Ovis aries: one gene and its partners. The protein of the gene in region 6 interacts with the protein of the main gene of each other region in a pairwise test. Links are inferred from orthologs where the notes say so. Each region holds a gene or a part of one and is shown on either strand. Other genes may lie near its edges. The genes, in order: SHMT1, EFHC2, LNX2, ARRB1, WDR62 and MAPK9.

Region 1 (4,170 bases), on a different chromosome or scaffold from region 6:
TCACCAGTTCATTAAAGGATATGACAAAGGACACAGATAAGCAGCCAGAGGAAGAGAGAGATGTTCAGGGCGATGGCTGGGAGGGTCACCGTGGAGTTGGGGTGCACCACCCGGAAGCTCCCTGAACCCTGTGAGGGGGTCATTAACTCCAGCCCCTTTCCCTCTCTGGTAGAGTTGAGGGGGCTGGAAATGCTTCTCATCATGGCCTGGTCTTTCTGGGACCAGCCCCAACTTGGTAGCCTCCCACCCTGAGTTGCATCATTGGAACAAGAGATGCTCCTGTCACTGGGAAGTCGCAGGGACCTGTGTGTGTGTATAACTATTTATATTCTCATGGTGCTCTCAGGAGACTGCAGGTGGGCCCCTTCTCAGCCTGGTGTCCTCTGGTCGCCCCCAGCACTTGTCCTTGTGGGCCCGCTTATCTGTCTGCATTCAGTGTGCTCACTGCTTCCTGCTCACCTTCCCCCAGGAAGCCCCATGAAGGTTCGGTCTGTTTGGGTCTCACTGTGTTCCCAGTCCCGACCTGTGGCTGCTGCTGAGGGGAAGGGCCTCAATAAGTAACTGTTAAGGGAATGAATTTGAAACAAAAGCTTATCTAATTAGTAGAAAGTACTGAAAGTTGCCAACCATCGATTAAAGGAGGTCAGTTCCTGTAAACATTTATGCTGTCCCTTTAGCTGAAATACCACTGAGCTCAGACTCTTGTTCTTTGTGGGGATGTATGTGAAGACACAAGCCTGCTGTATTGTGATGATGCCGAGTCCAGGTGTGTACCTCTGCCTGTGGACCTGACCAGAGGCCCAGGGTCAACCCAGAGCGTGTCCTGCAGCCCCAGCCGCGGAACACCAGGTGGAGCCTCTGCGGGGTTTGAGACTCTCCTCCAAGGCCAGTGGGCTGTGCGGCCCTCCACTAAGATACTTTTCTGAGTCTCCTTTTCATTACTTGAGAAATAGAAAAAGTAGTACATAAGTCAGCAATTCACTTGTTCATTTGGTAAATATTACTCTCATATGGCTGCGCTGGGTACTGTGGGAAATTTTTTACAAAGTAACCATCAGCCCTTGCCTTCAGGAAGCTGGCTTAGTTGGGGAGCTAAGCCACAACCAGGAGAAGTTCAGGTAGGAAGAGGGGGTGCTGGGCTCCCCGAGGCTGGAGCAGCCTCGAGGCAAGGAGGGCAGGTCTCCTGAGGAGCCAGTGACCTGCAGGGATCCACAGGTGGTCCCATGTGGTGGATCTGCAGCAGAGTTCTCATGTTCTCCAGGCGCTTCTGGGACAAGGCCCACACGTGTGTCAGTACTTCAGCAACTTGGGAACTGACAGGTGACGATGAGCTGTGACTGAGTTTAATATTTGAAGCTTTTCCATTTTTAGGTGCCTCTGAACCAGCACAATGGCAGCTCCAGTCAACAAGGCACCCAGAGATGCCGATTTGTGGTCCTTGCATGAGAAGATGCTGGCACAGCCCCTGAAGGACAACGATGTCGAGGTGAGGCTGTGGGTGTTCTTGCAAGTTTTGCTGTTGGAGGTCCTTGTTCAGGCCTCTGATTCTCACCAGAAATGAGCTGTGTTTGGGACAGCCTTGTGGTTTGGATACAGGACTGGTTTATAGGCAGTGGCTGCAAAGTGGCTGCAAGTCCTTTGAGGGTGCATTTAAATCTGAGTTTCTGTGAAGAGCAGTGTGCTGGCTGCTGCTGAGGAAAGGGGAAGGGGTGGGGTCACTGAGACTTGACCCTCTTCTTACAGTTCAGGGGAGCATTTCTAGAAGCATCTTTTATTTATGTATTTTTACAATAGCTTTACATGTGAGATAAGTGAATGCACTTAACATACAAGTTGCCCATTTAGAGTACACAATTCAGTGGTTTTTAGTGTATTCATGATTGCTTTTAGAACATTTTAATCCCCCCAAAAGAGACCTCAAACCCATCAGCAATTGCCCCCCTCCATCCCCCAGATTCCCAACCCTCAGCAACCACTGGTCTGTTTTCTGTCTCTGTGGATTCATCTAGGTATCTGTTATTTTAAGGAAAGGAATAAAGAACAAAGTTCAGGAGGGAAACTTGGTGAAATCTAGGGATGAAAATAACAAGATGGCACAGAATTTTAAAATTCCGTGGGATGCGTGTTTTAAGGATCATCTTTTCTTCCATCGTTTTGTTCTCCTTAATTCACTTTCTATTAATTCCTTCCTAAAAGCTTTGAGGAGTATTTCCTTTGTTCCTCAGGTGCTGTGGGGGTCATCTTATTCTGGTTACACTTGGCTTCTGAGGGCAAAATATGAAAGGATAAGTGTCTCTTCTCTTTGCTCAGTTATTGCTCAGATCAGAGCAGATGTTAAACTGCAGTGTCCCCATTCCTGTTTTCTTCTTGTCAGGTTTACAACATCATTAAGAAGGAGAGTAACCGGCAGAGGGTTGGACTGGAGCTGATCGCCTCCGAGAACTTTGCCAGCCGGGCTGTTCTGGAGGCCCTAGGCTCTTGCCTGAACAACAAGTACTCTGAGGGGTACCCAGGCCAGAGGTATGTGAGTGTCATCCAGGCCAGCCTCCCAGGAAGGGAGTGGACATTTCAGAAAACAGCCAGGTTCTCAATGGCAGGGCCTCCTGTCTCCTCCTCTCTTAACGATTCCTAGCGGGTGGTGGCACCACTGTTCTGGGGGCAAGATACTTGGGGTCACTTGCACAGTCCCCCTGGGCCTTTCTAGAATAACAACCAGGCCCGAAGGAGCAGCTGCTGGCTGCAGCTGAGCCTCCAGAGGAAGGTTGTGTGAGTAGGGACCCCAAGATGAGACTGACCCACCACACTGGAAACTGGGTCAGTGTTTTAAAACTGGGTTTACCTACAAGAGATTTCAGTCAGCTTCTCCTCTTGAGAAACAGGAGAAGTCATATTCATTTGTGTTTCTTACAGTTGTCATCAGGCAGAGATGGTGATGACAGAATTTAACACGTGGTTTTTGCAAAATTGCACACTTGTGTCCCAGAGGACACGGAAAAGGGAGGGTCACCTGCCGTTCTACACTGATTAGAGGGTCATAATTTTTGGACCCCCACACCCATCCCCCTGGAAGGGGGTTGTAGGATCACATGCCCTCCTGAACCTTGTCCTGTTCACAAATTGAGTCCTTCACAATAAACCAGGGATCATGAGTGAGGCGCTTTCCTGAGTCTTCAGTTTTTCAAGTGAATTACTGGAACTGAGGGGGTCATTTGTAGCCAACTGGGGCAGCAATGCTGGTAGCCCAGTGACCAGGGACTTGCCTTTGGCATCTGAAGTGAGGGGCAGTCTTGTGGGTCTGAGCCCTCAGCATGTCGGTCTGCACTGACTCTGGGTGGTCAGTATGGGAACCAGGTGGAATTGTGAGACACCCAGCTTGTGTTCAAACCCCAGGCTGCCTGGGGTCCCAGTGTTTCCAGTTGACCTTGGAGGAGATACTTTGGTGCCTCTGCCCAGAGATGTGGTGCTGCAGTCTTGCTGCTTCTTGCTGGGACTGAGGGCATGGTGACCATGGCACACCACCCCTGCCCCCAGCTCTGTTCCCACAACAACGGCAGGAGAGAGGGGCACCCATTTTCTGGCAGGTCAAGTCGACTTGAAGAGCATGGCTTCTATCCCAGGCCAAAACTAGTCACAAATAATAAAAAAACATAAGTGCATACATTGTGATATGCAATTATTAAACAAAAGATAAAATTTTATTAGAAATGCAAAGTAAATCCCCCCAAACCAGTAACTCCCTCTCCCAGCCCCTGGAAACCACTGTCCTGCTCCACATGCTATGAATTGATCCCTGGGCAGCTGGCACAGGCCATCACATGGCTGTGACAGTGTCCTCAGGGTTCATCTGAGTTGTGGGGTCAGACCTCCCCACGGATGGCGAGACACGGCCACCTGGGCCTGGTTCAGGGTGCGTGTTCTCACCCTTGCTCCTTCGTCCCACTAGGAGCCTGGCCTCTGTCCTGCATGCAGAAGTGGCGCCAGTGGGCCTATACCTCCCGCCTTCCTCCACAGGTACTATGGTGGGACGGAATTCATCGATGAGCTAGAGGTCCTCTGTCAGAAGCGAGCGCTGCAGGTCTATGGCCTGGACCCCGAGTGCTGGGGGGTTAACGTCCAGCCTTACTCAGGTAATGGCCAGGTCCAGACAGGCCTGGGTGGTCCCCTTCCTGC
Region 2 (4,149 bases), on a different chromosome or scaffold from region 6:
AGTTTCAGTAGGCTCCAGGAGTTGGCAATGGACAGGGAAGCCTGGCGTGCTGCAGTCCAGGGGGTCACAAAGTGCTGGACACGACTGAGTGACTGAACTGAACTGAAGCACCATGACAGCATCTATCAAAGGTGAACCCAAGAATGCCGTGTGAGAAATTTTAAAATTATATTTAAAAAAAGAACTTGATTTTTAAAAAAAGAATACCATTTGATCTGGCAATTGTACTCAGAGACATGAACAACAGTCACAGCAAACTATTTTTAACAACCCCAAACAAACCTAATCTCTGTCAAGAGTAAACTGTGTATATAAATGATGCCATACCCATACAGTATCTTCCTGTATATATACAGGGCTTCCCTGGTGACTCAGATGGTTAAGAATCTTGCAGCAATGCAGGAGACCTGGGTTCAATTCCTGGGTTAGGAAGATCCCCTGGAGAAGGGAATAGCTACCCACTCCAGTATTCTTGCCTGGGAAATCCCATAGACAGAAGAGCCTGGCCGGTTACAGTCCTTGGGGTTGCAAAGAGTTGGACACGACTGAGGGACTAACACTTTCACTTTCAACACCCATACAGTAGAATATTCTAGAGCAGTGAAAACATACAAACTATCTCTATAGACAGACACATGAACAAATCTCACAAACATAATGCTGAGCTTAAAAAAAAAAAAAAAAGCCAGCCACAAAAGAATAAAAACCAGACATTTCCACTGACACAAATTTCAAAAGCAAGCCAAAATGAACTACAGTGATAGCAGCCAGGAGAATAGTTGTCTTCGGAGAATAGAAAAGGTGTAATGACCAGAAAGGGTCATAGGCAGGGTTGCCATGTAAAATACAAGCTGCTCAGTTAAATATGAATTTCAGGTAAACAACAGAGAATCTTTTAATATAAGTAGATCCCATGCACTATTTGGGACATGTATTTTTACTTGCTAAATCTGGCAACCCTAGTCAAGGTTGATGTTTTGGGAGTCCTGGTAATATTTTCCTTCTTGATATCCATTCTATAAGCATTCATAGTGCATTTTTCTGTACATGTGTTATACTTCACAATAAAAAAAAACTTTAAAAAAGCAAAAGTACACTCAGTACAGCCTTGCAGATTTTAAAATATCTCATCCAACCACTGTTCTTCCCACTCTTAATCACTGTATGTGAGAGCTGAGGATCTGAAGTGTTGCTATGTCCAAAGCTGTGGGCTCTACATTCAATTTTGATTAGAATTACTTTTACACAGCATGCTTCTTTATTTCTGGAATCCTTTTTCATGCCCTGTCTTTCAGGAGTTTTACTTAATTTGTGACTAGCTTAATCTTACCACAGGCTTCCCAGGTGGCTCAGTGGTAAAGAATCCACCTGCCAATGCAGGAGACACAAGAGACGTGGGTGGGACCCCTGGGTCAGAAAGATCCCCTGAAGTAGGAAATGGCAACCCACTCCAGTATTCTTCCCTGGGAAATCCTAAGGACAGAGGAGTCTGGCGGGCTACAGTCCATGGAGTCACAAAGAATTGGACACAACTAAACAACAATAATCTTACCAAAGGGCAACATTAGGATGGAAGGCCAGCCTCTATCCATCAGCCAAGAAAGCACAAACCAGTGGTCAAGAAACAAGCTGAACTGACCAGCCAACCTGCAGGGGTCAGAATGCACTGGCCTGAAGCTACAAGAAAACTGGTACCGTAGGGCCAACAACTTGGATACAGACACTGTTCAGCATCCATAAAGTCAAATGCTTCAATCTGCAGCCTGTTTTCTAAACTTACCAGAGGTTTACACAAATACCTTGAGTGGTTCCATCAATTTCCCTTCTTACAGATACATCTGGAAAACCCAAGTAACGAGTAGGGACCAGTGCAAACAAAAACCTGAATCATTTTTCTGTTCTGGATTAAAGAAGATGGTATTTGCTGGCAAAAGTTATTGCGTGCTCAGGGTTTTTAATGTTGTGTTGTTTGGTACTTTCATCTTGTTTTGAAATGAACCATTCCCAATCCTAAACGAAGAAAGAACTACAAGTTTGGATCCTGCTCTCTATAATGTTTAGGATCAAACTTTATAGGCCAGTGGAACCCTTATCCACCCCCTACCAGCCTTGAGAGTGCCAGGTTTCTTCACTTTAATAACAAACTCTTTCACAAAGGGTATTAAGGAGAGTGATTAGGTTCCTGGGCTGTGGAGGCCGGTTGCCTGGAGGAAACCCAGCTTCACCACTGAGACTGTGTAGCTCTGGCCAGTGAGTGACTGACTCATCGCTCTGTGCCTCAGTTTCCTCAACTGTAAAATAGGAATTAAAAATAGCTGATAAAAGGGCTGTTGGGAGCATCTAATGCCGTGTAAGGTGATTAAAGCACAGCCCCTAGCACACCTTCAACGCTCATCGGTGACTATCATCAATCCTACCTTCGAGGGTCTTAGCATCTATAAGGACTCTACGTCTGTATCTAATGTAGGGAAAGCATCTAGATGCAGCTGGACAGAGGGGGAAGGGGAGGTAGTCCAAGAGCCCACAAAGTTAGACCCAAGCTGCGCCCAATCCACAGAAGGCGAAGCAGCGTTAGGAGGCCGGGGTAGTGGTCACACCTGGACCCCAAACTTGGCTGGGACTTCTGACCTCGGGTGCCCTCTCTACTCACATTATGGTTGAAGCTGTTGCCGGGCAGCAGAGGCAGGGCCATGGTTTCGAGCGTCCGAGGGTCAAGGGTCCGAGAAAAGAGGCCAGCAGGCAGCGGCCACCTTTCGGCCGCTTTGTTTGAGCCCCTGCCTCCCCCCACTCCACGTTACCTAGAGACGGAGGCGGTGTCACGGAAGGAGGAGGGGCTTCCGCGGGCCGGGGGCTCGGGGCGGGGCCGGGGCGGGGCTAGGCGGAAGCTCCGCGCGGGCGCCTCCCCCCGCCCACCCGACCCACTCAGCCGGGGACCGGTCTCCCCCGAGGCTTTTCTCTCCACACGCCTTGTGCACACACAAAGGCTGTCTACCGCACCATTCCCCGCCCCCGCCGCTTGCTGTTTTAACCCTTTGATAGGGCTCAAAGCCCTTCCTGCACTGAAGCTCCTCTGTTTCTTGCACGTTTCTGTTTCTCGCCATTTGGTTATTAAATTGAGTTCATACAGAAGAGTGCAGAAAATAAAATGACACCCGTGTGCTCACAGAAATGTAACACCAGTACACGTTACATTTACATCAGCTTTTACTTTGTAATTAAAACGTTCCAGATGAATCCCAAGCCACACAAACCCCAAGTGTCTCCCACCCCCCTCCCACCACGACCACCGAGAAAATCCATTCAGCGGTAACCACCATCCTCAGTTCTTCCTCTGTACTTCCGTTTGAACGCAACATTTTGTAAGATGCTCGTTCCTGGTGCAGTCATGGTGGCCAGGGGCGGAGTCAGGTGGCACAAAAAGTGGCCTCTGTCACTCCACCAGGCTCCCAAGATACCCAAGCCAGCGGCTCCGCTCCCCACACCTACAGCTACTCCCTCCCCGAGTCCTACTCTACTGGTTGGACACTCCGGGTAACTTTCAGCCACCACATCCTCTGTCTCAGTCGAGACCCTATTATTTCTTGTCTGGTTTTCTTTTAAAACAGAAACAAACAAAACACCTAATCTTGCCTCCAGCGCCATCCTCTTATATAATTCATGGTGCACCTGTTACTCTTCAGCTTCACTATTCTTCTAGCTGTCACGAGGCAGGCCAATTCCTTAGCCTGGTCAGAGCCTATGTCAGTAGGTGCCCACGAACGCCCTCCATCCCTTTCTTTGCCCCGTTCCTCTACTCCAGCTCCGAGGAATCACTGACAGTTTCTAAACCAAACTCTACAGTTTCTGCCCTTTGGGATTTTGCAAATTTCACTAGCTGCTGGAAACACCCTTCCTTGCCATCTCTCACCTGGGTAACCCCTTCTTGTCTTTCAGGGCTTGGTTCAGGGCGGGAGAGAGGTGTGGAAGGCTTTGACATTTCCGGGAAGCGTTCCTCCACCTTCTCCACTCGCCCGATATTAGCTGCCCGTTCTAATGGTGGCTTTTGTGGTACTGCAATGTAATCACCCTTACTTGACCCTCTTCAAATGCCCACCAATTCTCCCAGGGCAGGAACTCTCTCTTTTCTTATTCCTTAAAAATATACATTAC
Region 3 (3,500 bases), on a different chromosome or scaffold from region 6:
CAAAATAAGCCAGAAAAATGACCTTTTAAACAGTATTGTTTGAAATGTTGGCACAGATGAAAATGGGGAGCAGCTTCTCCACACTGAGCAGGCGGCCACTCACGGCACTGGCCACCCAAGTGACAGCCCACTTGGCCCGTCTCGGGCACATGGAACTCATTTTATGACTCAGTTACTTAAAACAGAGCTACTGTAAGCCGCCTGATGCAGCCTGCTGGCTCACAGTTTGGGCAGACTTCATTCTTTATTACAGCTCACATTCTGACAACTGAGAACCTGGATTCTGAAAATGTGACCCCACGAGGGTTAGGGGAAGACGCGTTCTGAGCTGAGAGAAATGTGACAAACTGAGGGGGAGGAGGCATTTAAATATTAATAACAAAAGGACAAGCCTGGTGGGTTTGGCCCTGTGTGTCCCAGCTGCGTCAGCAGGCCCTAACAGAAACTTGACAAAACCAAAGGGGTTTCTTCCCAAGACCTAAAAAAATAGGGAAGCTGTTCGACTTAACATCAAATTCAAAATCTACACGAGGCTGCCAGGCCAACAGATGACGGTCAGCGTGACTTTGTTTCTCTGCTCCTTCAGCATGGGGACCAGCGCCGAGTGGCTCATGCCCACGGTCGACAGGCCGTTCACAGCCACGATCATGTCTCCACATCTGGACAACGAGAGACAGAAACAGTCACCGTTTTCACGGTATCAGAAATGTTGTCCTGAGATTTGTTTGGTACACTTACCCATTAACTGTTGATGATCAGGCTATGTGACTTTCTTTGAGAAATATCTGGGTGATTTTTTAAGCCTATGTTGGCTTTCCCTTGTCAACCGGGGACACCCCCGTGCCAGCCTCTCCTGTAACTGGTGGATGATTTCAAAGGAAAGCAGAGTAATTTTCAGAGAAGCTTAAGCAATGTATAGTTAACAGAATAAATCTGCTGCCTCCTTTAAAAATACCACATGATAAATTTGGAGGGGGCTGCTATTTTCATGGTTGATTTTTTACAGTCCATTCGAGGCTTCAACTAAATGAGACCCACACCTCTTTCAGCCAAGGATGCTCACTGTCCTTCAGCTTAATTATCACAAATGGATGGTGAATCTGAAGACCTTTCTATCTTTTATAATTTTTAGTCTTTATTTTGAATATGAATATGTTACTTTCTTGTGATCTAGTTCAACTTCTTTTAGGAAGTGGAAGTTAATTAGTCTATAATTTACACGAGACCCAGACTGGCTGAACAGTTGGCTAAGAGAATGGTTATTTCATCCCAGCCTCCCACTCTTTGCTCCTGAAGTGATTTTTTCATCTCTACCAGGTGACAGTGGGATCTGGAGCACACTGACCCTGATGGATTTTCCTCGATATTCCCGAGCTGTTGCTCTGTGTTTGCAAAATGTAAATGCCCTGATTTGTGCAGCACTCTGACTAGGATGTCAGCATCTACTTTTTAAGAACTGTTTCTTGCATCCAAAACTAGGTCCTAAGAACTTACAGTCACCCGTCTCCTCTGTCTGTATAATCTCTTGATGGAATGCCTCTTTCTTCTCATGGTGCCTGAGCTCTGAGAAAGGTGGCACAGAGGCTGAGAGGGTACTTTTTGCCCAGTGGTGACAACAGCAGGGGCTGAATGGCCAAGACTCCTAGATTAACTGCTGTCAACGACTTCCAGCTATTTGACTATAGGCAGTTTTTTAACCTGAATCCTCAGTGTCTTGCTTATAAAATAGGAACACCAGCAGCACCTACCTCGCAGGCTGCTAAGAAGGTGCAGTAACCCATAGCCAGCACCTAGCACCACGCCTGGCACGCACATCATCCATCAATACTGATGAAACCTTTACTACGAATGCAAGGCCCCACGCTGCCTGCCAGGGATCTAACACAAAATGCAACAAAATCCCTCCCATGTGGACTTGCGTGAATTGAGCATTACGTTGACATAAGTGCTGTAGAGAAAAGTCACCTACTGACAGGACTGGACTCAGGTGCTCAGGGCAAGCTTTGGGTCATGATGTGTCCACATGACTCTGCGTTACTGTTAATCTCACAAGAGGCACTGACCTGTGGTACCAAGATGCTTCAGTCTGGATCAGGCCTGGCAGATCTGTCTCTGTAAAGGGCCAAATGGTAGGTAGACAGAGGGCCTGGGCTCTGTGAGTCACTGGTCTCGGGACTGGCCACTTGGCTCTGCCATCACATCTCAGAAGCAGCCCGGGGAGATAGGTAAACAAGGGAGCATGGGTATGTTCCAATAAAACTTTATTTACAAGGATGGACAACAGGCTGGACTTGGGAGCTGACCTTGTGTCCATCACAGTAAATGCAAATCACATCATTAAACACAATAAGACTCACTTTAATCTTCCGTCGTAATAAGCAGGGGTCCCCAGGACGATAGTTTTTATGAAAAAAGGCTGATTGGTATGGTTCTCTTCGTATCCACCGACGATACTAAAGCCCCAGCTTCCCAAGTAGCTTCTTCGCAAGACTATGTCATGGCAGCTATGAAGGGCACTGTCAACACAGAGACCAAGAAAAATTAGTGTGAGGGTTTTTTATAGCCTGTTCATCTTTGTTGTAACTCCACACCATGGTCCGTGCCTCCATTATGGATGGGGAGCAACATACAACATGCCAGAACAGAGCTGCTCATGTGCTCTGGTTTCTTAGCTCAATGAGAAGCACTTAACAGAACACTGACAGAAGTTACTTTGCACAAAGGAACGCTTGTGGTGTTACTACATCTCTGGTCATTAATGTGTAAAAAAGCTTCCAGTAGAGAGGAGTCCCATGCATTGGCCTAATGTTTTAGGACAGTACAGGTTATTTTCGTTATTCTGAATCTTCTGCAGAAGATAAAACAACGCAAACAAGCAGGTGTGTGTACATGCCAGCACACACAGTGGAAGAGCCCCCGCTCCCACCCCACCAGGGAAAGCAGAGCTGTTGCCCCAAATGACAGCCCTCTGACCCACGGTCATTGAATACTGGTTTGTATACAATAGAGATCTCTGGGAGTCTACAGAACAGTGGCTGTTTAGTGACAGGTATTCCTTTGACCTATACTAAACTAGGTTTTAGTATCCTGTGTTTCTTCTTTTATATTGGAGTATAGTTGATTTAGTTTCCCTGGTGGCTCAGCAGTAAAGAATCTGCCTGCCAGTCCAGGAGACGTGAGTTCGATTGCTGGGCTGGGAAGATCCCCTGGAGGAGGAAATGGCAATCCACTCCAGTATTCCTGCCTGAAGAATCCCACAGGCAGAGGAGCCTGGCAGGCTACATACAGTCCATGGGATCGCAAAGAGACAGACACAACTTAGTGACCAAACACCACCACAGCTGATTTATAACGTTGTTTTAGGTATACAGCTAAGAGATTCAGTTATATGTATCCATTCTGTTTCAGGGTGTTTTCCCATATAGGTTATTATAGAATATTGAGTACAGTTCCCTGTGCTATACAGTAGATCTTTATTGATTATCTGTTTTGTATAGAGT
Region 4 (3,948 bases), on a different chromosome or scaffold from region 6:
TCAGTTCAGTGGCTCAGTCATGTCCGACTCTTTGCGACCCCATGGACTGCAGCACACCAGGATTCCCTGTCCATCACCAACTCAGAGCTTGCTCAAACTCATGTCCATCAAGTCAGTGATGCCATCCAACTATCTCATCCTCTGTCGTCCCCTTCTCCTCCTGCCTTCAATCTTTCCCAGCATCAGGGTCTTTTCCAAGGAGTCAGTTCTTCTCATCAAGTGGCCAAAGTATTGGAGCTTCAGCTTCAGCATCAGTCCTTCCAGTGAATATTCAGGACTGATCATAAAAGATTTAGATTGCCATAATAAAAACTTAATGATTCCCGTTTTCCAGAGGGGAGACTGAAACAAAGAGGGGTTGAATAACCCGCCCAAGGACACATCTTTGCCCCCAACCATTCTTATTCTGGAACCTTGGGTCCTAATCAGGCTCCCAAAGTGCCGCCCACTGGACACCTTTCCCGTCACAGCACCCCCCCACCCATCCTTTCTCCGGCAGCCTCACCCCTGAACACCCATATCTCATCTCCAGGGCCTCCTCCTCACAATGCTGCTTTTATTATTAGCAATTAAAACAATAATTTATTGAGGTGAAATTCACATAACAAAATTTACCAGCTTGAAGTCAACAATTAGCAGTATTTACTGCAGTCACAACGCTGTGCAGAACTACCACCTCTACTCCAGATCCAAAACACTTCCACCACTCCACACTAAAATCCGTCACTCTCGAGTGGTTTCTTCTCCCAGCCGCCCCTCCTCCCAGGCCCCAGCAACCACCAATGTCGGCTTTCTGGGTCTATGGACGTATCTATTCTGGACATTTCATATAAATGAAATCACACAATATGTGACCTTTGTGTCTGGCTTCTTTCACATAGCACAATGTTTCCAAGGTTCATGTTGCAGCATGCATCAGTACTTCATTCCTTTTTTCGACTGAATGATGCTCCGTGGTATAGACAGACCTCAATTTGTTTACCCACGCATACACTGATGATCATTAGGGCCACTGGTTTCCACTTTTTGTCCGCTGTGAATAGTCACTCGCTGCCTTTTGAGCCTCACCACAGCCCTGAGGGTGAGGACTATTGTTTCGCCTCAGTTCCCAGAAGGTCCATTCCCGGGAGAGAGAGTGCCATGGGCTGAAGCCCCCTGCCTCCCAGATCACAGTGTCCTTCCTACGTGTCCCATCAGCTGGTCACTTCTCCCCCAGGTCACACGTTTCCTGGGCATTGGTTACCACACATCAGGCTCTGGGCCAGGATTAGGCAACATGCAATGGATGGCTCAGCCTGGGCCCTAGTCTCCACCGTGACCTGAAGCCAAGGGGTTCCAGGATCCAGGCACGCTATATCCAAAACAGGTACCCTTTCCTCCCTGGTCTCAGCTCTCCTCTCTGCAAAGACAGAAGATGGCCCCCGGCAGAAGGCTCCAGAGAGCTGCATGGTGGGGCTGTGGAGGGGAGCAGGAACTGCTGGGCTGGAAGAGGGGCCTTTAGAAAACACAGAACTCACAGTCCCTCCATGGGGCAGGGCCGGGGGATCAGGAGAGCAAGGAGGGCTTCCCTTGCCAATCAGCCATTTCCCTCTCAGACATAAACAAGGGACCCTGCTATTCCTGGAGATAAACCTTTTCTGAGGTTTCTCAGCCCAAAGGCAGGGGGCCAAGGTTCTGGGATTCCACATTCCAGGTTGGGATAAGGAGGCTGACCTTAGAGGCTACTTCCATTGGAGCCATCTCTTGGCATAAGATGAGGTGGTTATGACCACTAGAGACTCAGAGAGGCCGCCCCCTTCCTAGCCCTCCAAGAAACCTCCTTCAGCCAAAGCTGGTCTGTTAATGGGACATCCTGAGGGAGTTTCCAGCATTCACTGGGGACCAACAGTCTCAGCCCAGTCACTAAGAGTCACCACCGCCTCTTCACGGCCCCTTCACGCGCAACAGGGGCCGACACAAACACGATGAATGAATGACCAATCGATCAAATGAATATTCATTCCCTCAGTGCTTTCCCACTGTTGTCCTCTCGTCTCTAGTCTATTGCTCTACACAGCTGCTATGGGAACCCTCAGATCCTGCCCCTCCTGCACGCTGTGTGTCCTTGGTCAAATTCCTTAATTTCCATGAGCCTCAATTTCTTCCATATTTCTTCATCTGCAAACAGGGACTCTACTTGTGGGGTCCTGAGGAAGATTAAAAGAGAAGGCAGATGCCCAGCACCTCAAAGGCTAAGGTAGGGGCCCAGGAAAAGCTGCTGAAGGAAAGCTGTTTCTCTTTAGCCCCACCCCTCACCCCATCCCAGCCCTCCCAACCCTAATCCTCTAACCATTCTCTGCTCTTGAGGCTGGAAGAAGGAGCCTAGCCCCTGGGCCGGCCCCTGGCTGGATGTAAATGTTTATGCCAAGCCCAGCCTCCCAGGGACAAGTTATTTGCTTGGCTAGTAATTAATTGCAGAAGGCCCAGTTGGGTAATAAACTCTACTGGGGAAACATAAACAGTTTGCACAGAGCTCCAAATCCATTGTGAGACCAGTGCAGAGGGTCTGTGAGGAATGGAATGTTCTCCCCAGTCTCCTCCCAGCCAGAGGCAGTGAGGTCACTGAAGGTCAGAAATGGGAGGACCCTTGGAGATCATTTTAAAAACAGGAACTGATGTGATGGAGTCCTTCCCTTGCTCCAGGCCCAGCTGATCACTTGATTATCTGGGACCACCATTATGCTCACGTTAGAGATGAGGAAATTGAAGCTGAAAGAAGCAGGAAGACTTGCCCCAGCTGGAAAGGGGTTGGGCTGGGAGGGATACCAAGCCTGAGCTCAGAGAAGGGAAAGAAAAGGACAGCCAACAAAAATGTATGTGTGTCCCCTGTGCCAGGCACTAGGACCTGGGGACACAGCTCCCGTGGCCCCTTGTATTCCAGTGGGAAGAGATGGATCTTAAAGGCTGACCAAAGACTGGTTTGATTACATGAGTGCTAAGTGCTTGGGAGAAAAGAAGACAAAGCCTCCAGAGCAGAGGAGTCCAGCAAGTTACAAGCAGCCACTCAAGCTCTGCAGAGCAGATTCCACACAGTAGGCCTCGGCAGGAGCACACAGTGGATGTGCACTGAGTTTCCAGCTAAAACTTAGCCCTCTTTTCTTGCGGCCAGTGCAGCTTCTTGCCAACCAATTCAAAGTGCATTGAAGGTGCTGTGCCAGGGCTGGAGCATAAAGGTGGATGAACTAAACACAACAGATGCCCCCGGGGAGTTCGCAGCCCAACTGAGGGCACTCTCAAAAGGGTAAAGGATGGAGTGCAAGATAGGATGATGAGGTTCACGGGGCAGAAGAGAGGGACAATCTGCATTTATTGAGTACCTACTGTGTGCCAGGCACTGTGCTTAGCCTACATTATCTCATTTAGGCCTTACAGCAACCCCGGGGTGTTGGGGGAGGATATTATCACCTCCATTTGGGCAGAGGGTGGGGGAAGCATTATGGCTTGCCTCTTGCAGGATCTTAGTTCCCCGACCAGGGATCAAACCCGGCCCCTGGTAATGAAAGTGCCAAGCCCGAACCAGCGGACTGTGAGGAAATTCCCTTATCAACCCTATTTTGAAGATGAGAAAACTGAGGTTCATAAAAATTATACATAATTGTCTCAAGGTCACAGACATAACAAGCAGTAAGGGTGGGATCTGAAGCCTGGCCTGACACCAAAACCCATGTTCTTTCCTCATAGCTCCCGCCTGAGCTCCTCCTTCCCCCACTCCCTGAAAGGGGCACTGAGGTTGGAAGTTGGAAGGGACAGGATGCAACCACCACTCAGCCACCTTTCCCCAAATCTGCAGGGGGAAGCAATGCACCCTGCCGGCCTACCTTCCTTTCTGAGCAGGAAAGGTCAGCTCAGCCCACACAGGCAGCTTTTCTCAGGCACAAACTCAGCTAGGCACCTCACCACCACCACCTC
Region 5 (2,611 bases), on a different chromosome or scaffold from region 6:
TCCACCGGGAGATGGGGACACTCACACAGTGGGGTCCACACCTCCAGCGTCTCCTCAGCCTTTCCTCCAGGAATAACCTACAAACATAGCCCTGCAGTGAGGACAAGGCCTCCCGGCTCCCAAGCCCCATGTCTCGAGGGAGGTGGCCCCAGTACTCACGTTGGTCCTGACTGGGGAGGTGGAGCCAGCACCCACTCTTGGGGGCTCGCCCTGGAGGTCCGTGAGTCTGACCTCTGAGGACTTCACGAGGTGCCGGGGAAGTCGGGAAGGGAAGGTGTGGGGAAACCTGTTAGGTAAACAGGTGGCAGTGGCTGCCCTCAGGGTGCTCAGGGGCACACAGCCCCGCCCTGCCGGGAGAGTTCACGAATTCACCCGCTCCCACCTGGATGTCTTCTGAAGGCGGGAGAGGAACTGGGCTGAGATGCTCAGTCGGGGGTTGAAGAAGTCATCCTCGGTCTCAGAGGCTTTCAGGTCTCTCAGGGATCCGAGGAAGAGCTCTAGGGCAAGATGCCAAGGGAGCCCTCAGAAACCCTCCAGCCAGCCAGCCCTGGGCCCAGGCAGACCCCACAGACCAGCAGACAGATCCTCAGAGACCCTCAACAACGGATAACATGGGGCTTCCCTGCCGGTCCAGGAAAAGATCCCACATGATGCAACTGAGGCCCGATGCAGTCAAAAATAAAAAGCAGACAACACGCACCTTGGGAGCGAATCGAGCTGGCAGAGGATACCGTGCTGCTCAGTCCCTAACTAAAAAGTAAAATGCACGCCCTCCCACCACTCTCACCAGCCCTGCCAGGGAAAGCCGCACCCTGGGGACGTCCACACTGAGCCCAGTCCTAGGTGCGCCCAGGCAGGTGTCAGAGAGGGGCAGGGCTTACCCTCAGGGTGGGCATCAGTAAGCGTCTCGAAGTGGTGGCGGAGGAACTTCTCTTGCTCAGGGGTCTGGGGCAGGGAGCTGTTGGATATGCCTGGCACCTCGGGCCTGGGCAATTCTCCTGCAGTCCCTGGGCATCCTGGTCAGAGGGCGTGGGCAGGGGAGAAACGTCAACACCATGAGTCATGGAAGACGCCCTGAGAGAGCCACCAGCCGTTTAACGATGGAGGAAGCTGGACTCGCCCATCACACACCCTACGGCCACCAGGTGGAGAAGGCGGGGCTAATGGCTGTCTTCTAGGGGAGGGAATTGGGGGTGCAGGACTGAGGTATGGCCAGTGGTTATATATTACAGCCATCACTCGGCCAGGCCCACGCACCGCCCTTTTCTGCATGTGGCCGCTGCTTACCTGGTATGGGGGGCATTGTGTCAAACTGAGGTTCTGGGTCTGGCTGTGGAGGAGAGGAATGGATGGTGGTGAAGCTGCACTCCAAGTCAGCCTCTGACTCCCCCGAGTCTGGAAGAGAGTGGCTAGGGTCAGGGGCCCAAGGCTGGGCCCTGACTGGGTGAGTCAGGTAAGGAGGCTACAAGTTTCTGGGCTTCAGTTCCTTCATCTGAAGAAGGGGGACTATAGGACCCATGCCCTATTTTACGGACCAGCAAGGCTACACTTCAAGGGAGATGCAGAGCTGGGCTCCCACTGGTGGGCAGCTGGGCTCCAGAAGTCTAGGGTGAAGACAGCAGGGATGATGTCTGTCTCTATGACAGACTCTGAGCTTCAGGAAGACTGGGTCACAGTCGCCATCAGTGCCCAGAAAGGGGTCTGGCCAGATGAAGAGATGACTGCAAGGTGTCCTGCTGGTACTCACTCACCCTCAGGGGGATTCCGGTCCTTCGAGCCGATTGAGGGGACTGGGAGGAAGGGGTTCCCTTGCTGGTCTCCGCACGCCTCCACTACCTCCTCCGCACAGTACTCACTGCATGCCGGGGGTGAGGGATGGATAGGGAGAGGGAAAAATGACACACTGGTTAGTAAACACCTGGCCCCTACCCAGAAGCCCTGGACATCTGCACCTGCTCCTGCTGGGAGCACAGCTTCGCCTCTCTTGCCAGCACCAAAGGCGGCCTCCATGCACCTCCTCTTGGAACCAGGGAAACAGGTTGCAGCCTCAGCCCTCTGCCTCCCTCCCTCAGGCCCACTGGGAGAGCGGAGCGCAGTTCTTCCAGGGTGTGCCTACTAGTCAAGGCTTCCTCTCTCCAACTAAGGAACTCACCTGTCCCTTCCTGTGACTGTCACCTCTGTCTCTGGGGGGCAGGTGATGAGCTCGCTGGCCTCAGAAGACTCTCGCTGTGGGGGTGACAAGGAAGGGTGCCCGCAGCCATCCTCCTGGGGACTCTCGGACTGTGGGTGAAGACAGCGCAGCCTCAGAGGCAGCCATGATCCCCGGGCCCATGTCAGCTGCAAGGCTTGCCACCCACACCGGTGGCGACGGGAAGGATGGCAGGCCTCACTGTCGGATGCTCCCTGTGAGGCAAGACCTGGACGGGGCCGTACTGAGCTTGTACTGAGCTTGCTTTCTGCTGCTCCTCCATTTCATCTGCCCCTTTACAGATAAGGAATAGGTATGGCTCCCCCCCGTAAGAGTCTATTCATATGAAGTTCAAGAACAGGCAAACCAATCCATGGGGACAGAGTTCAGCATGCTGGTTACTTCACTGAGGGTACTGACTAC
Region 6 (3,968 bases):
CTGGTCTGACAACTCTCCCATCATTTCACACCTTCAGACCTGCTGGAACCAGATCCAGAGGCTAGCTGGGGGAGACACCTCTGAAGAAGGTCACTGCCAACAAATCACAGGTCCTAGGGGCCCTCAGCATTGCACTCCCTTCCCTCCATGTATGACTCTGCCATTCTCTTCTGAGAAGACCCAGGAATGAATGCTCCTTTGTAAAACCACAGCTCTGACAGCCAGACCTCCTGAGTTTCCCATAATCCTTGATGGTGGCAATTTTTGTTCAAGTGGCTTGAACTCTGCTCCAGGCTCACCAGCCAGTCTTCTCCCCTCTGTCACTGACCTGCCAGGGCCAGAGGCCTGCACATGGCCATCTCCTCCCATGTCCCTCCTCGGCTTCTGGCTGCTGCTGCTGCTGCTGCTAAGTCGCTTCAGTCGTGTCCGACTCTGTGCGACCCCACAGACGGCAGCCCACCAGGCTCCCCCGTCCCTGGGATTCTCCAGACAAGAACACTGGAGTGGGTTGCCATTTCCTTCTCCAATGCATGAAAGTGAAAAGTGAAAGTGAAGTCGCTCAGTCGAGTCCGACTCTTCGCGACCCCATGGACTGCAGCTTTCCAGGCTCCTCCGTCCATGGGATTTTCCAGGCAAGAGTGATGGAGTGGGTTGCCATTGCTTCTGGCAGCAACCCTGAAACTGCTTCACAGTGAGCAAAGGAATCCAAGGTCCATTCCCCTCGTCTCCACGTCCTCGCCGCCTCCGCCTCCCAGTCCTGGACGCCAAGGCCGCGGCTTCCCCTCGCCCTGGCCCTCCCCTCATGGACCTTCTCCGCCTTCCTCCAGGCCGACTCGCCGCTGTCAGTCTGCACCTGCAAGCCCAGAGGCCCGGCTTTCGGTCCCGTCAGTACCCCTTTCCATCGCCTCCCAGCGCGGTGCTCGGCTGCCGCGCCGCGGGCACCGGTAAAGCGCAGTCGGCGCGCCGAGCCCGGCCTGCGTCATAAGGAAGCGGAGCGATCAGCTGCGCGGCCGCCAAGCGCCGCTCCCCGAAGACCTGGTCAACCAGCGCCGGGCTCGGCCCGCCTCCCCTCCGGAGCCGCCCGGCAGTAGCCCCAGCCCCGCGCGCGCGCGATTGGCCGCGCCCGCCCAGCTCTCCGCGCGCTGATTGGCCGGCGCGCGGGTCGGTCAGACCGGGCGCCGCGGCGGCGGCTGCAGCGGAGGAGAAGCAATCCAGACCGGAAGGGTCCTAGGCGCCCCGGCGCCCCTCACAGCCTTTGCGGCGGCGGCGACGGCGGCGGCGGGGCGGAGCGGAGCAGAGCGGGGCGGGGCGGCCAGGCGAGCCCGGGGCAGCGGAGCCGCGAGCAGCTAGCGCGCTGCGCCGCCAGTCCGCCCGCCTGCCCTCTCCCTCTGGCGCGGCGGCGGGGAGGCGAGGTGAGCCCGGCCGGCGGGTTAGGCCCAGCGGGGACTCTGGGACCGAGCCTCGCCGGGGAGGGGCGGCGGGAAGGCCGCGAGGCCAGGCTCCGCGGGGACAGGGGGGTGCGGAGCGGGAGGACCGGGTTCTGTGGGGTCTGCGGGGTGCTGGCGACCCCGGCCGCAGCCCCTCTTCCTCCAGGCTGCCGCAGTCACCCCCTTACGCCCGGCTGTCCGCGCCCCAGAGCTGCGGGCTCGCTCCCTGCTCTGGCCCCGGCAGACCTGCTGTAGGGTCTGTGGGCGCCCCCTCCCCCGCCCCGATTGTTTGGCACCCAGCTGCATACCTCCTCCCGGATGCTCAGAGCCTGGGATCTGATTCCTGCGACCTTGGCGAAGGCACTGATCCTTGCTGTTCCTCTGTTTTCCCCTCGGCAAAGTGGGGGAAATGTCTACCCTTTTGGACAGGATTGTTGTCAAGCTCTATGAATGTGTGTGAAAGCCCCTGGGCGGGAGCCCGCCCGGTGCACACTTGTGGAAAATGAGCGGGATACTGCTCCTTGCTGGCTTGAGTGTAGCAGAGTCCGCCCAGAGTCCCCCATCCTCATGCTCCCCAAGTGCCTTGTCATTGCATACTCAGTGCCCAGCAGTGCCTGAGCGGGCCCTGACCAGCTCACCCCCAACAAGTCCCCCAACCCGGAGCAGTGGTCTCCTAACCTACCCATCTTACTGGCCTTGAACATTCAGCCCTGTTTACCTCAGGACCTTTGCACTTGTATCCAGTGATTGGAGTTGCCTCCCGGATCTTTGCACAGCTGACTCCTTCTGGTCCTTCTCACATGTTCCAATTTACAGAATCCTTTCCTTGACCTCTCTTTCTCCTCCTTTAGTCTTTCTGTCTCATTACATTAATTTTCTTCCCAGTATCTGGTTTGAAACTATTCTGTTGATTCGCCTGTTTATTTTCTGTCTCTCCCATTAGGATTATAGCTTTCTGAAAACAGGTAGTTGTCTGATTTGTCCACTGCTTTATCCCCAGTGCTTAGAAAGCACACAGTAAGTATTCAGTAATATCAGTTAAGTGAGTAAGTGAGTGAATGAATGACCCTGCCAGCCTGTTGCCTCTGCTTTCTCTGTTTAGTGACTTCTGACTAACTTGTGAAACTTACATGCAGATGATAGGTTGCTTTAGTTTTGTGGAACATTTTAATGTCCTTGACCCTTTTATTTGGTAACTATCAGAACAAGCTGTAATATAAAATCTGACATTTTTATAATGTTTTCGCTCTAACTTCCTTCCTCGCATTCAGGACATATTGACTGAATTCTACATTATCCAGGTCAGCTTTCTGCTCGGCCCTGGGGACACAAAGGCAGTAGCAACAGGGTCCCTTCCTCCAGAGAGCCCAAGAGCCCAGTAGAGAAAGGAGACATGCAGACAGTGCTCGGACAGCTTGCTGTATAGCAGGGCTGTGCTGTGGAAACTTGGAGGAGGCGGTGGTGCTTGGCTGGTGCTGGAGTTGGCTTGAATGGTGATGAGAAACTTGTCAGGTCTAGGGGAAGACAAGACGTGGGGAAGGGCAGGGTGAAGGAAGAACTTCAGCCCAATCAGTTGAGTTCACTCGCTCAATCATGTCGCTGTTTGGGACCCCATGGACTGCAGCACACCAGGCTTCCTTGTCCATCACCAACTCCCAGGGCTTGCTTGAACTCATGTTCATCAAGTCGGTGATGCCATCCAACCATCTCGTCCTCTGTCATCCCCTTCTCCAATATTCAGCCCAATGTTGGGGTCAAAAACCAGCCTGTGGGGCCAGGTGTGAGAGATTAGAGTAGTGGAGACCCTGGAGAACCAGACACCACTTACCCAGCAATTTTTAGAAAGAAGCCAGAACTTGAGATTTGTATCTGCACTCTCTTCATGTTCAATTGTTGGCAGTAGCTTATTTTAAAATGTTTTCAGTGCTGTGAGCCAAGCAAAATGCAGACCTCATTCAGTTTTATTTCAGGATTGTCGGACTCCGGACTTCAAGGCAGGTTGTTTAGGAGGGAAGAGTTGCAGTGAGCTAGAAGGGTAGCCCACGACTAGGGCAGCTCGGCCCTGTTTGTCCAGGAACTCTCTTTTGGCACTGGAGCCCTGCGATAGCAGCTAGGAAGCCTGCTAGCCTCCACTTTCTACACAGGAGGAAGCAGAGGCTCCCAGGGTTTCGGCAGTCTGTTTTGTAGCAAGCAGCTGGAAAGTGAAATTTGAACCCAGGTCTCCCGCAGATCAGCATTCTTTCCTGAGTCCCTTAGCTCTGAGTATTCTCTTTGGCTCTTAGTTTGTTCTGGAAGAATAAAATCCAATCTAGATATCGTTTCCCTTCATTTATCCCTTTTTTTCCCCTTCAAGAGGATCCTACAGGGTTAAAAACAATCCTATTTTGGCATAGTCTGTCGCTGAAGAGCGTTCTTTTCCTGAGTTTCTTGAGGAGAATCCACTCCTGAGAACTTAACTTTTCAGGATGCCACTTTAAATAATTTGTTGACAGATTAAAATGTGTTTATTTGGCCTTCCTAAATAAATGTTAGAAGGTACAC

The links.
Region 1: the proteins of MAPK9 (region 6) and SHMT1 interact in binary tests that used the Homo sapiens proteins (3 or more experiments, as listed by UniProt). The two-hybrid records come from large-scale screens. The link is inferred for Ovis aries from reciprocal best matches to the Homo sapiens genes MAPK9 and SHMT1.
Region 2: the proteins of MAPK9 (region 6) and EFHC2 interact in binary tests that used the Homo sapiens proteins (3 or more experiments, as listed by UniProt). The two-hybrid records come from large-scale screens. The link is inferred for Ovis aries from reciprocal best matches to the Homo sapiens genes MAPK9 and EFHC2.
Region 3: the proteins of MAPK9 (region 6) and LNX2 interact in binary tests that used the Homo sapiens proteins (3 or more experiments, as listed by UniProt). The link is inferred for Ovis aries from reciprocal best matches to the Homo sapiens genes MAPK9 and LNX2.
Region 4: the proteins of MAPK9 (region 6) and ARRB1 interact in binary tests that used the Homo sapiens proteins (3 or more experiments, as listed by UniProt). The link is inferred for Ovis aries from reciprocal best matches to the Homo sapiens genes MAPK9 and ARRB1.
Region 5: the proteins of MAPK9 (region 6) and WDR62 interact in binary tests that used the Homo sapiens proteins (3 or more experiments, as listed by UniProt). The two-hybrid records come from large-scale screens. The link is inferred for Ovis aries from reciprocal best matches to the Homo sapiens genes MAPK9 and WDR62.

What each region holds. Positions count from the first base shown.
Region 1 is NC_056064.1:34,088,876-34,093,045, forward strand, and holds the start of SHMT1 (serine hydroxymethyltransferase, cytosolic), read left to right. Parts: upstream 1-1,370; 5' UTR 1,371-1,390; coding exon 1,391-1,486; intron 1,487-2,374; coding exon 2,375-2,520; intron 2,521-4,011; coding exon 4,012-4,127; intron 4,128-4,170. UniProt on the Homo sapiens protein: Interconversion of serine and glycine.
Region 2 is NC_056080.1:43,527,397-43,531,545, forward strand, and holds the start of EFHC2 (EF-hand domain-containing family member C2), read right to left. Parts: upstream 2,801-4,149; 5' UTR 2,693-2,800; coding exon 2,651-2,692; intron 1-2,650. UniProt on the Homo sapiens protein: Microtubule inner protein (MIP) part of the dynein-decorated doublet microtubules (DMTs) in cilia axoneme, which is required for motile cilia beating.
Region 3 is NC_056063.1:32,686,254-32,689,753, reverse strand, and holds part of LNX2 (ligand of Numb protein X 2), read right to left. Parts: intron 2,517-3,500; coding exon 2,358-2,516; intron 660-2,357; coding exon 524-659; 3' UTR 1-523.
Region 4 is NC_056068.1:53,257,881-53,261,828, forward strand, and holds the start of ARRB1 (beta-arrestin-1), read right to left. Parts: upstream 2,801-3,948; 5' UTR 1-2,800. UniProt on the Homo sapiens protein: Functions in regulating agonist-mediated G-protein coupled receptor (GPCR) signaling by mediating both receptor desensitization and resensitization processes.
Region 5 is NC_056067.1:46,067,124-46,069,734, reverse strand, and holds part of WDR62 (WD repeat-containing protein 62), read right to left. Parts: intron 2,281-2,611; coding exon 2,153-2,280; intron 1,856-2,152; coding exon 1,752-1,855; intron 1,396-1,751; coding exon 1,288-1,395; intron 1,017-1,287; coding exon 882-1,016; intron 498-881; coding exon 383-497; intron 287-382; coding exon 160-286; intron 78-159; coding exon 26-77; intron 1-25. UniProt on the Homo sapiens protein: Required for cerebral cortical development. Plays a role in neuronal proliferation and migration.
Region 6 is NC_056058.1:713,789-717,756, forward strand, and holds the start of MAPK9 (mitogen-activated protein kinase 9), read left to right. Parts: upstream 1-1,168; 5' UTR 1,169-1,412; intron 1,413-3,968. UniProt on the Homo sapiens protein: Serine/threonine-protein kinase involved in various processes such as cell proliferation, differentiation, migration, transformation and programmed cell death.